Caenorhabditis elegans: one gene and its partner. The protein of the gene in region 1 interacts with the protein of each later gene in a pairwise test. Each region holds a gene or a part of one and is shown on either strand. Other genes may lie near its edges.

Region 1 (3,928 bases):
GTCCCCTAAGCGTACGTCTCGTCCTCATCTGAATGCGGCCAATTGGCTCCAGATTTGAAGCGACGGTGGCCAGTGTTGTGTCATTTGCTGATTTCCGGGCTTCCTGCAAAAAATTAATTTATTTTGTTTTTTTTTTAATTATGAAAAACTTCAAATTATTGGTTTTTACAACTTTTTACTTCAAAATCTGTAAATTCGGGCCTTAAATTTTTATAAAAATTACTGTAATTTCCACTCTAGGAATTTTCATCGATTTTTCATAGTTTTCAACTAAAAAACATAAATTTTTATAAAATCGAGAGAAAAACTATTATCTAGACGGATATATATGAGGTTTTTTGCCACATGAGTCTCGCCACGAATTGTCGATTTACGGGCTGTTATTACATATTTTTGCATACATTAAACACATTAAATGGACAGTTTGAGATGATGCAATAGTGCCCCGTAAATCGACATGGGGGATCAGAACCTCTCATTTTTAGACGTCCACATAATATGGAAAATTGCTGAAAATTCCCGAATTTGAAATTACAGTAATCTTTTCACAAAAATTTGTCGCTTCGAGACCGGGGACTGTATTTTTGAAGCGAAAAATCTTCCACTTCCATAAATGTTTTGTGCATTTAATTAACACCAATTCAGTGTATTTTCTATCTCTGCTGCCCCTCCTCGCTCCAGGCCAGCTCACCCCGTTTTCAGCACCACGAGAGCTTCACCAAACCCCGCGCAACATTTTGTGCTCGCGCACACGCACAACCATGTGTGTGTGTGTGAGTGCTCGTCGGAGCAGGAGCTACCACCAATTCTAGTGAGCGACGCGATGACAACGACAACGACGACGACGACGGCAGCAGAGTCCTCAAGGGAGAATGGCGCACTACGACACGAGTGGAGCTTGCGCAGAAGAGAGACTGCGAGAGATCTCTCTCTCTCTCTCTCGTGCTCTTGGCCAGCAGTAGCGGCAGAAATTGAGAGCATTCGGCGGCGGGGCCCCGGGAAAATAGTGGAACAAGAGCCGGAGACGCCGACAATCTCACATTAGGCAGCCAATCTATTCTCCTCGCTCGCTCGCTGCTTCTGCTGCTGCTCCAGCTTCTCCTCGTCTCAGTGCCCCCACCAGGGGCGACCCCATCTCGGCCAATGGCTCGCCGCGGCCTGCGTGTGTGGAGCAACAACTTCTGCTACTGATCGATATTTTGCAGCGGCGATGGCGGGTAGAAGAAGAAGAAAAGAAGACGACGACGGCTGGGGGACGACGACCATCGTGTTATACACATCCAGTGCAGCAGCACGTCCCCTCAAGTACGGCGCAAAAACAACGCCGATGGCGGCGGCGGCGGCATCGTTGGAAGGGGAGCGCTTTACTTATTACCAACAATTTGTATATGTATGTGTGTATATGTGTGTGTATAAATATATAAATGCGTGTATTTCTCATATTTCGCATATTCAAACAATTGCTAGACCATGCTCTGGAACGAGAGATTACTGCAATTATTAGTTTAAAAAATATTTTAAAAAATAAAAAAAAACACAGATTTACTCACCCGAATCTGCGACTTCAGCTGTTCAGCCTCCTGTCGAAGTTGGTCAAGTTCGCTCATCTTGCTGCTGGTGGTGGTGCGTGCTCCGGAGGATGGTACTGATGGAAGTGTCGACGGATGCGGCTGCGGCTAATGCTGCTCCTGGTCGGTGTTCGCGTTTTCGACGGCGGCGCTGCTCTATTCGTCGTCTTCGTGGCCTTTGTTCTTGCACTCGACAACTGGGCCTGCAAAAAAAAGCGTGAATTAAGAATTATTGGATAGAAAAAAAGAGTTTGAAGGAAATAGCAGAAAAAATCGATTTTTTCCAAGAATTTGATTATTTTCATGAAGGAATTAAATTTATCGTTAAAATAATTCAAGTTTTCGAAGCTTTTAGAGATTTTCTGTGGAGAAAATAAGAAAAAATAAGATAAAAAGGTCAAAAAAGGAAAGAAAATCAAAGAAAAACAACAGTGTGCATATTGACGTCACGGTGTTTGCAGAAACTACGGTAGGCCAGCACATGCTAATTGCCGCGCAATGTTTTTTGTTTTTATTTAATTAATTAATTAATAAGTTTTAAATTGAATATTCAATGCGAAAACCAATCAAAAAATGAAGAAAATTATTGATTGTTTCATTGTAATCAAGTAATTTATGTAAAAATCAAAAATTTGAAAAAAATGGATTTTTTTCAATTTAAAAATAAGTGATTCCAGAATTCTATATTTGAAAAAACAACACATTTTGGTCTTACTTATCTAATAAAATAGTTCGATTCTAAAATCGATAACTAGACGGGAAAATATTTAATTCTTTAGAGAGGAACTTTGGAAGTAGATTATTAGCTCTAGGGATCCCTATAGGTGAGATAATAAAATAAGAATAAACTAAAGGTATGTTTTTGATCAAAACATGAAAAACCTACTAGAAAGAAATCTATATCACTAACCCTTTTAATTAAAACCCCTCGACCGACGTCAACTTGGCAAAGACGGTGAGACCAAGCTGCTGATCAGGAAGTACAGAATGACGGTCTGCAAACCAAAATCATAAGCTTCAGAAATTTTAAGCAAAATTTTTAACTTTCAAAAAATCAATAGATCGATTCAGAAACTGGCGTGAGAGCGGAACACTGTACGAGAAAGAAACCAAACCTTGAGACGCAGACCAAGCGGGATGGAAAAGGGGAGCGGGCGGGAAAAAATGTAAAAGTGTTGGTCTGTGTGTGTGTGTGTGGCGCGGAAGAACAAAACAATGACAAAAAAGAAAGAAAAGAAACTGAATACCACAAATGTCGAATGAAATGAGGGAATTAAGGAAGGAAATGATGGGGCACAGGTATTTGAGTTTTGAGGGAACATATTGCTCTCCGTGTTCAAATACCTTGGGCTCTCCCAGGTAGGAGCGCAAAACGTGACAAAAGCTAATATATATCTGTGCGAAGAAGGCGCGGCTCACTCTTTCTCTCTCCTACCATTGGATCTGCGAATTATTGATTCAACTTTTGTTTGCTAAATGCAGAATTCTAATTGCTTTGGGCGAGGGGACATCTGGTGCCCTCCAGCAGGTGGTGCGAGCATTTTTAACCAATAAAATTGTACAAAGTTCTCAGACAAAAATAGGCCAATTTTGACCGAGCCAGACTGCCATCGAAGATTAATGGCTTTGATGTGACGTGGCAGGACGCAAGACGGCTTAATGGCTGGTGTTTGGGTCTAAAATGTGAATGGGCACAGGAAATGAAAAAGCGGCGAAACGTTCTGGACTAGAAGGGAAAAAAAAGAAAAAATAAGCGGATTGTGTCAGGCAATCAGTCGATTCGACTAAGCAACACACAGCCCAGAGAAACAGACACGCATATGCAGATAATGCCTTGACGAAGCACAAGAAGAAAGAAGAAGTAGATGTAGAAGTAGAAGACGACGACGACGTAGAAGAAGTAGAACATTGAGCGTGAGCGTGTGTGTGTGTGCGTGTGTGTGTGTGCCAGTGAGCTGCCCCGAGATACACCAATCAGAGGCTCGTCTAGACCTCTACATTCAGAACACTATTCCTATGGAGAGAGAGAGAGAGCAAGACGAGTGGAGCGAGGCGAATGGAGAGGGAGCTCTACGTCAAGCTGCTCACCTGGGTCTCCGCACTCGTACGCTTCTCTCCTCTCTTCCGAAACCTCTTTCGCGCACTATTTCAGGGCGGTCGAGAGGGCCCGAGTGAAAGAGGCAAAAGGAAGACGCGAAGAATTGAGGAGCGGATCAATACGCACACACAAACAGACACACACACACAGCAGACTCGGATGCAAACGCCCGGCGCGCGCTCACCACTGACAAAAAGCGGAGAGACAGAGACGGACATGCTGCCAACGGGCAAAATGAAGCGAGCGGGTGAGGCCGCAACGC
Region 2 (3,928 bases), on another chromosome or scaffold:
ACTGAGATTTTGTTTTCCATTTTCCATAATCATAAAAAATGTTAGAAAATCGTAGTGCCACATGCACGAGTTTCTAAAAAATAATTATTTTTAATATTTGCAATATTTGTCCAGAAGCTGTTTTTTTTTCAAAATTTTTGATGACGGTAAAATCAAAAGGAGTCTTTATATTTCATTTATCAAACTATTTTAAAAACATTCGTAAAAACTAGTCTACTCTGCCTAGTGTTTTCTAACAGACCTGGCAATTCTGAACAGTATGGATGAAAAAAGACTACCTTCGATTTTCCTGTCAATTAAAATTATGAAAAAATGAAATTTTTGGTTGCATTTTTCACATACAAACATTTTTATACGTTTTTTCCAAATAATGAACATTCTCACAATAATCTTGACCGTTTGTCTCGTGTAAATAGCCGTTTCTAAAAATCATGGGTTATTCATTTTTTTGATTTTTTATAACATTTTGATTTTTTACTTTTTTATATGATTCAAAAATTCATTTCCAAGTCCTTTCATAATAACGTCTGATGTTTTAAATTATTGTTTATAGATGCATAGGAAAGTAGAAAAAAAAATAATTAAGAAGTATATTTTTGCGGGAAAAAGCTTTAACTTCACAAAAGAGTGCGATTCTACTGAAAAATTTCAGAATGACAGTCTTTTGTGAAGCCAATGCTAAAAAAACCCAATTGGCTAGATCGAAGTGATCAGCGCAGATAGCTACAGAAGACAATTCCAAAAACAAGAAGATTGCAAGTTAGATTTGAGATCGGAAATTGAGATTTGGTGAACGTGTTGATTTTCTTGTGGACTGAGAGTTCAAAAACGTGTAGCTAAAACAATAGAGCAATAATGAATAGAGAAATGATGGACAGTAACGTGAATTGTGAAAAATCGGGACGTGTCTTGAAATGCCGGTAGATAATGAAATTTGAATGCGCGATATCAATTTAGAGTACTGAACAGCTTTTCTTCTCTTGGAATGGATTGTGCTGATCGGTTGGCCCGGAGACCAGCATGTCGTTGGTCTTGTTCTTCTCGCAAAAATCGAGCAGTCTGAAATTATAGTTTGATTGCATATAAGTAAATATTTCACTTTTGCTATTTGATATTCCACATTGTCATATATATTCTTGTAATTTTCGATGGTTACAAAAATTCGATTCGTTTTTAAATTATTCAAACATCTGAAACAATTTTGTCGTTCTGTCGGTTCTGTCGAAATGGTTGTGACGACATTATGTACTCTAAATATCACTAAAATTGTGAAGTATTTCAAAACTATACTTTTGTGTAACCTAATTTTAGTTATGCGTTGTTTTCGATTGCCTTGAAGATTTTTCGAGTAAGTTATTGATTTTCCAAAAAAAAAAAGAAAATCGTTGAAAGAATGCCTACCAATAAAATATCGACATTCATTATTTCTACAGTTTAGTGCTTGCCACAGTTAATGAACCTGGCCACAGTTTGATGAAAGAACTGGAGCAAATTATGCCATATTACGATGTTACGTATCACACTTTCTTTAGGATATAAAGTACACTTTTAGACAAAAAAAATACCAACAAGAAATGTGCAATTTTTACATTAATAATGAGAATTATCCAAATAACGTCTCGGAGTAGCAATACTAAAAATAGATACCTATTCTCATATGTAAATCACCTTTGCTCATAAAAAATAACTTACTCCTTTGAAACTTCGGAAACTTTTTTTCGTTGAATGTTGGCCTCAGCACAGAGTTGTTCGGTTGATGCCTTGATGTTTTCCATCTCAGATGGTTTCTGGAACTGAAAGAAACGCTAATAAATTTTCAAAATATGATAAAACAAATCTTCTTCTCAATAGCGAAAACTGGTGAAATGAGTAAGGTAGCTGGGAAGAAAAAAAGCGAGGAGACAAGTTTGGTGTCGACGCAAAATGAGTAGGTTTGGTGGGTGAAACTACCAATTTTACGATCGGAGCATTTGCTCTTTTGTCGAAATTAAAGGGTTTCGAGGCAGAAGAGCTCATGTGCTAAAACGGTGTTTATAATTAAAAGATTGAAGACTGAGCTATGTTTAATAAATAGATTGGAGAGGATTTTACATCTGGATTCTGAGACTCTTCACGACAAAAGAGAGGCGGTAAAAAGTGAAATCCAGTGTGAGAACTGACGACGGCCCTATGCGCTCTTCATCATAAAAAATATTGTTCGGGATTAAGTCGTCCTCCCTTTTTCGTTTCTCTTCCTTTTACTCTTAGTCAATCCACAATTCAGGGGATTCGGAGGGATTTTGGCGCCAGCGGATTTAACATTGATTTTATTATTGAACATTTTTGAATATTTTTGATATGCTACATTCAATATAATTTATACGTAAATATCAAATTGGCCAGAAAAATGTTAATTTTTAATAATTCATCAAAATAACCATACAAAATACGTTGCGGCTAAAATTCTTAAAAACTAATACTTCTACTAACTCATTTCTTTCTCAATCTAAAAATCACTCAGTTTGCAAAGCTCTGTTGATCAAAACAAGAACTGAATGAATCGAATCCAACTCTTTATAGTTGTTTTGATTGGATTTGTATTCAAAAATTTGTCAGTGACCATTTGAATATAGATTTGGTTTTTTGTCTCGATTCCTAGATTTGTTATTTGTAAAAAATCAGGAACAGGCAAGATGATTTGTATTAACTTTCTGACTTTGAAAATATTCAACACGAAATTGTATTTAGTTAATAGCTTACGATCACATTTAGTATTTCTTGAATTTTAATCAAAATTAAATTATTTTATATGCTATTTTAATAAAACGAAAATTGCGTTGGACAGCAGAAAATTATAACAAACTGAGAAGAATATGAAAATTACTGAAAATTATACAACTAGGTTCTCAAATAATGTGAAACCCCAATTTTCGTTTTTATTTGGACAGAACTAAACTTTTTATACGCTTTAAATGGATCTTATTGTATATATGTAAAAAGCTTTCATTGCTGATAACTCCCATAATTAAAACGTTAAGCATAAACCACATAAATCTCTTCACTATTCAAAACAAAATTTAACGCTTCGTGAGTCAGAAGTAAAATCCAAAGAAACGAGCTATACTAGAGTTACTGTCGAGTTTTCGTGATTTTAACAAAATCTTTACAAAAAAAAAAGAGTCCAGAAAACTCAACAAGTCAGCAGCTCGCTCTTTACTTTCACCTGTTTTATGTTTTCTTTTCATCATTTCATAACCAGATAGCATAACTCGTACCAATCAGCTTTCTTATCCAAACTTTTATTAGGTGTGGTTGCCCATAGTTACTAAATGAGCTATGCGTTTTATACTCTAATCATATTTTGACAAAGCTGCAAAGAAAGGTGATTAGGTTTTGTGGTAACTAATAGAAATATATAGTCAAACAAACTGGCAATATTAAAATTAAACTAATGAAAATTAAGTAGTATAATTATATATCGAACTGTCATTAAAGGTGAAGCAGCAGAACAAGGTAAAAATTTAAAAACCACTCTCATGGTGCCAAAATGGCTAAATATTATAGTAAAATTTTTAACAAATTTTTAAAAATTTTTTTATTGTTTCTAAAAATGAGACTAATTAAAACTACCATTTTTTGGAAATTGATCAAAAACATTTTTCTTAAAAATTTTTTGGTTAACTTAACTATAAGTTCAAATATTAGTGTTCAAACACTGTACGATTTCGGACATACTCCAGTGCTATAGTATTCTCAAAAAAGGCAATAATCAAGTAATTGCCACCTTTTGTTGTCAATAAAATACATTTGAACATGTTTTTGCAGCTTCTTATCATAATTTAATATAGCGCCAAGTTGGATGAGACTAACATTCGGGGACTTCGTAAGCCCATTTGTTTTAATTTTTTTAAATCAAAGTAAACTTAAATGCCGATTGCATAAGAGTCAT

What was found.
Region 2: the proteins of gpb-1 (region 1) and gpc-1 interact in a two-hybrid assay, tested with the Caenorhabditis elegans proteins (one study listed by BioGRID).

What each region holds. Positions count from the first base shown.
Region 1 is NC_003280.10:11,746,041-11,749,968, forward strand, and holds the start of gpb-1 (Guanine nucleotide-binding protein subunit beta-1), read right to left. Parts: upstream 1,611-3,928; 5' UTR 1,608-1,610; coding exon 1,551-1,607; intron 1,021-1,550; exon of another isoform or gene 883-1,020; intron 104-882; coding exon 1-103.
Region 2 is NC_003284.9:12,880,637-12,884,564, forward strand, and holds gpc-1 (Guanine nucleotide-binding protein subunit gamma), read right to left. Parts: upstream 1,794-3,928; 5' UTR 1,776-1,793; coding exon 1,693-1,775; intron 1,060-1,692; coding exon 954-1,059; 3' UTR 535-953; downstream 1-534. UniProt on the Caenorhabditis elegans protein: Guanine nucleotide-binding proteins (G proteins) are involved as a modulator or transducer in various transmembrane signaling systems.